Notamacropus eugenii: one gene and its partner. The protein of the gene in region 1 purifies or fractionates together with the protein of each later gene. This does not show direct contact. Links are inferred from orthologs where the notes say so. Each region holds a gene or a part of one and is shown on either strand. Other genes may lie near its edges.

Region 1 (3,909 bases):
CTCCTTTCTTCCTTCCTTTTTTCCTTCTTTCCTTTCCTTTCCTTTCCTTTCCTTTCCTTTCCTTTCCTTTCCTTTCCTTTCCTTTCCTTTCCTTTCCTTTCCTTTCCTTTCCTTTCCTTTCCTTTCCTTTCCTTTCCATTTTGTTCAGTGGTTTCACTTGTGTCTGACTCTCTGTGACCCCATTTGGGGTTTTCTTGGCAAAGATACTGGAGTGGTTTGCCATTTCCTTCTCCAGCTCATTTTTACAGATGAGGAAACTGGGGCCAGCAGAATTAAGTGACTTGCTAATAAATGTCTGAGAACAGATCTGCAGTCAGGAGGATAAGTCTTCCTGACTTCAGACTCAGAACTCTATTTATTCATGGTACCACCTAGTTTTTTTTTACACAGATGAGAAAACTGAAGCCTAGTTATGTGATTCACACAACGTCACACAGATAGTAAGTAGTAGAAGCAGAATTTGAATTCAGATCTCTGATTCTAAATCTAATGACTTCACCACTAGACCACAACAGAGGAAGGACTTCAGAGGTTACAGCACAAAGTAAGGGCAGAGGAAAACAGTGACTGAGGAAGCATTAGGGTTGAGTTTACTATGAGGCACAGTCTATAGCCATTGGTACAGTCAGTAGCAACTACTTTGTGGCTGATCCCCTACTGATCTCCAGGCCACAGGTTAGGTAGCTAATTGGAGATCCAGAGTTTGGATGAGGAGGTGCCCCCCAGAAGGGCACAAAGGGCATAATGAACCCCATGGGGACAGGTGGACTCCTTGAGGCCAAGGGAGGAAGCGAACTGGTTGGATAGCTAGAACTGGAAACCTTTCTAGAGTAGATGGAGAAATCACCCTCTCTCCATAACTCCTCTAACTCTCTACTTCCCCATGTCAGCATTAGGGGTACAGCCCAATTGCCCCATACTGGTTGTAGATTTGGCTCTTATTGTTAAGGATTATTCCACGTATTTTCAAAAACTTTTTTCACGCCTTTGGCTTTCTTTCTGAAGTCCACAAATGTAGCTAAGAAATTCCTGATCAGGCCAAATTAGGCCAGGGAGAATTCACTGTAGCCAGAATAAACAGCTAACCTCTGTTTCATTCATAAATGTTGTAGCAAAAATGAGAAAGTGGGTCAAGGGAAAGGCACAGATGAGAGAATGTAAGATGACAATCGCCTTTTCAATCATTCCAATGACCTTAAAGAGAGATCCTCAAATTCCTCACTCAGGTCTGGTAAACAGACTGTGGAGGAACAATTCAAATGTGGAAGGACAGGAGATTGGGCCCCCCCAAGGTGCACCTGTCTAATATGCACAGACATTTCCACTGAGAAGGCAGAAAATGTCCAAGGACCAGCTCATCTGTCTGCCTGCCTTGGATCTTGTGAAAGTTGATGGGTGTGTGAAACGGGAGGCTTGACAAAAGAGGCTGTATGTAATAAGGAGAAACCTCAGGCCTGAGTGTCTGAGGAAGCGGGAGTGACCATGAAAAGGAGTCCTCTGGAGTATCTCTTCCTTCCCAGATTTTACCTCCAGTTAAAGTACTACCAGATAGCTCAGCTGTCTTTCAGTGGAGAAACAAAATACTTTCTGTATAGAAATGAATGAATTTTGCAGATGAGGAAACTGAGGCCTAGAGACACTGATGTACCTGACTAGTTAGGGGTGGAGATGGGAGTAGATCCAGTTTCTCCTCTGTCCTCATGCCAAGTTCTTTCTACAATGCACCAGGTTACATGGCTCCTCAAATATTTGCTTCTTAGCTGCTTTTCCCTATGGTCCATTTTTCCTTTATCTTCAGACTTTGACTCACAACAGGGTATCCCAGATCTCTGAGGAGCTAGCTATCCCCGGTCTTTACCAGCTTTCTCCTGATTAATGTTGACTCTGTGGATGCCGAGTTGTGATGACAGCCGGGCTTGCCCTGGAAAATCTTGCTCTGTATTGTGTGTGAGGAGGAAAGACTACATGTGTTCCAGGCCTCCTGGAATCCGGGCTCCCCTAAGGGACCCTCCTACAAGTCCTTTGCACTGAGTAACCTCAGTTCCTTTAATAGAGTAAGCAGGCCAGATGTTCGGAAAAGCTGAACTCTGGTTGGCTGCTTTCTATAAGGGCGCAGCTGATTCTTTCCTGAACCATTCCCGTCTCCTTCCGCTTGGATTCTACTTCTATTTTCCTGGGTGTGTAGCCTATACCGCACCACCCTTTCTACCTTTCTCATTACCCAGAACAGCTAACAGCGCTTTAGTTAAGTGTCAGCTAACAGCGAGGGCTAGTACTAACTCTAATATGGATGGATGATTCACTTCGTTTCAGTTCAATCCAACAACTATTTAATAACTACCTACTGTATACAGAGTCCTGGATTAGGTATAGGGGGGGCAATACCAACTTGAGATACAAACTGGCATACAGACTGACCTCCTGGCATTGACTCTTTAATTCAGGCTTTGCTGAGGGAGGGAGGGACTCCAGTCCCCTCTCCCTGCTCGGATCGCTTCCCCATCCCACCCCAGAACAGCTTGCCAGTACACTGCCTACCGTGGGTCTCTTCCAGACGACGCCTTGAGTTTTGCTCGAGTGCGGTCCCAGTTCCTTGAACCCCAGGGAAGATATAATCGCCGGGAAGGAAGGATCCTGAAAGAGTTTACCCTCCTCCAGGCATTCGTTGAGAAGTGTCTCGTAGTCCTGGTTGAGGTATTTGACCGCGAGGTCGTGAGTGCCCAGGCCGGCCGCCGCCTCTCGGTCTCTCACCACTTTGGCTGCGATGCCCGACATGGCTCCGGTCCTGGGTTGCTGCCACGGCCTAGGAAATGCGGCTCAGAAGGCGCTGGGGCTGCCCAGGAGCAGAGGGAGGCTGCAGGCGCGAGGAGCAGGGGCACGCCAGGGGGTTGGAGCTGGTGCTGCTATCCTGTTTGCGGATGGGGGTGATTCACCGGAGAGGGAAGGGCACCACCAGCTCACCCGCCGCAGAAGGCTGGGTGTGGCTTTGTCTCCTAACTCTGCGCCGCTTTGCAGCGGGACTCCGGGCCCAAAGACTTCAGGGGAGGAGCCAAGCCCCGTGGAAGGACAGCTCCACTGGATGTGCTGCCCTCTGCGGGCAGTCTGGGCACACGCGCCCGCACAGGGCACCTCTTCTCCCCCAGATCCTGCTCCCCATCCCCTGGGAAGTTGCTGCCTTCCCTTCCACCTCTCCCAAGGAGGCTAGGCACTTAGGGGGCCCACTTATCTCCACGGAGTATGGAGAAGATGACGCAGTAGTTAGAGCTCTGGATCAGGAGAAAAGAAGACCAAGTTCACATTCCGTTGGCTTTGTGATCTGGGGCAAAGTACTTAATTGCTTTCGGTCTCAGTTCTTGTTCATCCTCAGTTCTCAATAATACTAACCTTTACCTCACGGGGATATTGTGAGGGTAAATTGGGATAATATTTGTAAAGCGTTTTGCACACCTTAAAATGTTACTATGTAAATGCGTGCTACTATTATTATTATTGTTAAGATAATATGTATCTCAGGCAGGGGTTCTTCAATTGTGATCCATGAACTTGAATGTGTGTGTATACACATACATAAATACATGCATAAATTTTAAAATGAATATGATATATAAATATATATGATAAATGTATGCATATATCAACATAATTGGTTTTCTTTGTAATTCTATGTATTTTATTTTGTGCATTGAACAACTTTGTTCTGAGAAAAGAGTCCAAAGGATGATGCTGGAACTAGCTCCAACTGGCTCCTGTTAAATTTTCAGTATAAGCATTTAGACTTCAGAAATGGGAAAGTCTACTAATCATGGCTTGATTGACTGGTTTCTAAGCTTAAGAAAGTGATGGAGAAAATATTAATGCAGATTAAAATTATGTTTACTCCCCCCCCCCCCAGTCTATTCTTAAAAATTT
Region 2 (3,909 bases), on another chromosome or scaffold:
CATTTTAATAAAATGACATATATCCAAAGTTTCATTTTCACTAAACTACGTGCAACTTAGCGTTTCCTTGAGTCACTGCACGATCTTTTCCCGAGCTTTTCCCCAACGGTCGGAGGCCCAGGACAACAAGGGAGGTTCGGAACCCCTTCTGCACCCGGACTTTCAGCTCCGTCCACGCGGTCTCCTAGGAGGGAGGGGCAGAGGGGGGGAGGGGTAAAGGGAGGCGGCTTTCCTGAGCTCACTCACCCTAACCCTTTCGGACGGACGGAGACGCCCCCTCGGCAGACAAGGGCGATCCTCCGGCTGGGTGAGGAGGCCTCGGGGTGCGAAGCCAGGGAAGGGAGCACACGGTCTGTCTGTCTGTCTGTCTCCCCCTTCCTTCCTTTGCCGCCTGGCACCCTGGGGTCAGCTGGGGTCAGCTCTCCCCGGGGGGTCCCATGACGCGGGTGCGGAGCCGCAGAGAGCGCCGCTGAAGGCCTCTGGCTTCCCACGGAGGAAGCTCGGGGCGCTGGAGTCGAGGAAGAGGGTTCGGACTCGTCTCTGCCACGTGGGCGGGAGGGACTTTCCCTCCTGGGCCTCAGTTTCCCCATCTGTAAAATGGAGAGTGGAGGTGTTGCACGACGACTCCGGCAGGGGGCAGCAGGCGCAGGAGCGCGTCAGGCAGCTTCCCACGGCACTCAAAGGGCTGCCGAGACAGCCCCGTCCCACCGGAGCCGCACCACCCCGGCAGGGGGCGCTATTATTTTAAAGATGAGGTAAATAAGGCGGCGAGGTTAAGGGCCTTGCTCGGGGTCACATGACTATCAGGGTGCAAGGTTGCATTTGAACTCGGAGCTTCCGGACTGCAGGTGCAAGGCTCGTTACCTGAGAGCTCCACCTAGCGGGTAACTGGCGGAGTCACAGATTCCATCCCGGGAGAAGCCGAGTGTGAGGGAACCAATCAGAAGCCGTATGTAAATACTACCCTACCACACACTTTCATTCCTTCGATCACAGGCTCTCGAGTCAGAGTCCGCGACAATTGCTTGGCGCGTGCGCACCATCGTTTTCCGGCCCTCTCGCGGGGACCAGGGTGAGGGAAGGAAAGACTACGTCATCGCGCTGGGACGCGATTGGCCCGCCGAGGGAATTCTACGGCGTGCGGGTCAGCCGCTGATGCCGCCGAGCCCGGCGCGATGGCTCCGGACTCGGGGGTCCCCCAGACGGATCCGCTTCTGAAGCTGCTACCCCTGGACTCCGGGGACCGCGGGACGCAGCGCTGCCGCCTGGGCCCTTCCGCCCTCCGCGCCCTGAAGGTCCGCTTGGGCGCCGCCCTCCTGGTGGCCCTGCCGGATGGCGGCTCCTGCCTGTGCACCGCTTGGCCCCGGCGCGACTTGTCCGACGGCTTCGTGCAGCTCGACCCGGGGTGCGCCAGCCCCGGCGCGGCCGCGGGGCCGTGGGGGCCAGGCCGGAGCATCCGCCTGAGCAGCCTGCGCGCCGTGCCCTGCCCGCCTCTGCGCAGCGTCACCGTGTGGCCCGTGCTGCGGGAGCCGCCGGCCCCGGCCGAGCTCTCGAGCCCGACCTCGGTGCTGGAGGCGGCGCAGGAGCTGCTGCGGAACAGGCCGGTCGGGGCGCGCTCGGTGCTGACGGCGCCCCCGGGCTCCGCCGGCCCGCTGGCCGCCCTGCACGTGCTCGGGGGCGACCCCCGCCCGGAGCCCGCCGCGCTGGTCACGCCGCGCACCCGCGTCGAGCTGGGCGAGCCGTCGGCGCCCCCGGCCCCGGAGCCTCCGGCGGAGGCCACGCTGGGCGGGCTGGCCGAGGCGGCCGCGGCGCTGCGGGAGCTGCTGCGCCCGCCGCCCCTGCAGGCCCGCTCCCTGGCGGCGCTCGGCGGGTCCGCGCCCCGCGGGCTGCTGCTCGTCGGGCCGCCCGGCGTGGGCAAGACGCAGCTGGTGAGAGCCGTGGCCCGGGAGGCGCGGGCCCGGCTGCTGGCCGTGAGCGGCGCGGAGCTGCAGGGCTCGCGGCCCGGCGAGACCGAGGACAACGTCCGCCGGGTGTTCGCGCGGGCCCGGGAGCTGGCCGGGCGAGGGCCCGCCGTCCTCTTCATCGACGAGCTGGACGCGCTGTGCCCGCGGCGGGGCGGCCCGCGCGGGGCGCCCGAGGCCAGAGCCGTGGCCCAGGTGCTCACCCTGCTGGACGGCGTGGGCAGCGAGCGGCGCGTGCCCCTGGTGGCCGCCACCAACCGGCCCGACGCCCTGGACCCGGCGCTGCGCAGGCCTGGCCGCCTGGACCGCGAGGTGAGGGCGTGGGGGCCGGGGCCCCGGGAAGTCACGTCCGTAGCGCTTACCATCCGCCAGGCTGTGCGGGCACTTTACATCGTCTGCCCCCTGGGTCCTCACGGTTCCGGGAGGTCGGGGCTGCGCTTGGCAGATGAAAGGTCATAGGGCTCCAAGTGTCCGAGCTGCCCTGCCGCCTACCTGGCTGACCCTGGCGGGCCCCAGCCCTCAGCCCCAGGTTCTTGATCTGTAAAGTGGGAGCCATAGCCCCCACCTCCTCAGGCTGCGGGGGGCTCCCGTGAGATCCGGTAAGCTCCTCTGCAGACCGCGGAGTGCTGGTCCTCATCATCACCCTGCAGGCCCAGTTCTGCTGTGAACAGCTCCAGAGGTTCAGATGGAACATCGGAAGCTTAAGTGATTGGCTGGAGGATCAAGTCGTGCGTGAGTGTCTGAGGCCCACTGGGAACCCTGGTCTTCTGACGACAAAGCCACCCTTCTAACTCAGTCTTTTAGGCCTTCTATAAGGAAGAGCCTTCCTGGCCGTTGGGATGCACTGTATTTGCCCGTTTCAATCCAGTTACCAAGGACTGGTACAAAAGAATTCTACCCTTGGCTGTTTCATCTGCAGCTTCTCTCTAATTTAGTCTTAAAGACTGAGTACTGAGAAATTAAATGGGACAGTTCATTTTAAGCAAGGATTGCGTAGCGCTGTTTTCTCAAAAAGGGAGGGATTTATAAAACTGAATTAGGTAACTTAGACAACTTTTGGTTTGCTGCCCTGTGGGGAAACTTTTAGAACTGTTGCTACCAAATTCTTTATTATAGGAGATGGCGCCCTGAGCCAGTAAGGACAGAAATGTAAGCAACAAAAATAGCAACAGAAAGTTATTTTAAGAAAAAAACTACTTGTATTTATCATTAGTACTAAATTGAATTTTTTTGTTAAAGTTGTAAAGGACTTTTAAAGAATGTTTAACTGAACCACAGCAAAGAGTCTGAGTTAGGTTTCTACAACCATACTACCTAGAACTTATTGTTCAGTCACTTTCAGTAGTGTCCAACTCTTTTGTGACCCCATTTGGGATTTTTTTGGCAAAGATACTGGAGTGACTTGCCGTGCCTTCATTTTACAGGTGGGGAAACTGAGGCAAAACAGTCAAGTGATCTGTGCAGGGTCACACAGCTAGTAAGTGTGTGAGGCCAGATTTGAACGCAGGAAGACGAGTATTCTTGACTACAAGTCCAGCACTCTATCCACTTCGCCAATTGGCCGCCCTGCTACGTAGAATGCCTGACACAAGTTCATTTGCAAAATTTTCATCTAATGATCTTCTGGTGGGATTAGAACTGTCCAATTTTTCACATTCTTTGTAGTGGGTGCTAAAATGCCTTTTGACTTGAACTGCCAGAAAAAAGTGAGGAAAATAGAAAAGCTATAAATTCAAAAACCTTATGTCCACTTCACTTTGGGTGTTTGTTTTGTTTCAGATCATCATTGGGACGCCCACCCTGAAGCAAAGGAAAGATATTCTCCAAGTGATAACTTCCAAGATGCCTGTCTCCAGTAATGTGGATCTCCTTCACTTGGCAGAAATGACGACTGGCTACGTTGGAGCTGATCTGACAGCACTCTGCAGAGAGGCTGCCATGCAGGCGG

The links.
Region 2: the proteins of CAPN2 (region 1) and AFG2B purify together in Homo sapiens (co-immunoprecipitation; 3 studies listed by BioGRID and IntAct, with this or other methods). This does not show direct contact. The link is inferred for Notamacropus eugenii from reciprocal best matches to the Homo sapiens genes CAPN2 and AFG2B.

The regions. Positions count from the first base shown.
Region 1 is NC_092873.1:412,734,993-412,738,901, forward strand, and holds the start of CAPN2 (calpain-2 catalytic subunit), read right to left. Parts: upstream 2,817-3,909; 5' UTR 2,776-2,816; coding exon 2,539-2,775; intron 1-2,538. UniProt on the Homo sapiens protein: Calcium-regulated non-lysosomal thiol-protease which catalyzes limited proteolysis of substrates involved in cytoskeletal remodeling and signal transduction. Proteolytically cleaves MYOC at 'Arg-226'.
Region 2 is NC_092878.1:52,183,623-52,187,531, reverse strand, and holds the start of AFG2B (ATPase family gene 2 protein homolog B), read left to right. Parts: upstream 1-1,175; coding exon 1,176-2,273; intron 2,274-3,740; coding exon 3,741-3,909. UniProt on the Homo sapiens protein: ATP-dependent chaperone part of the 55LCC heterohexameric ATPase complex which is chromatin-associated and promotes replisome proteostasis to maintain replication fork progression and genome stability.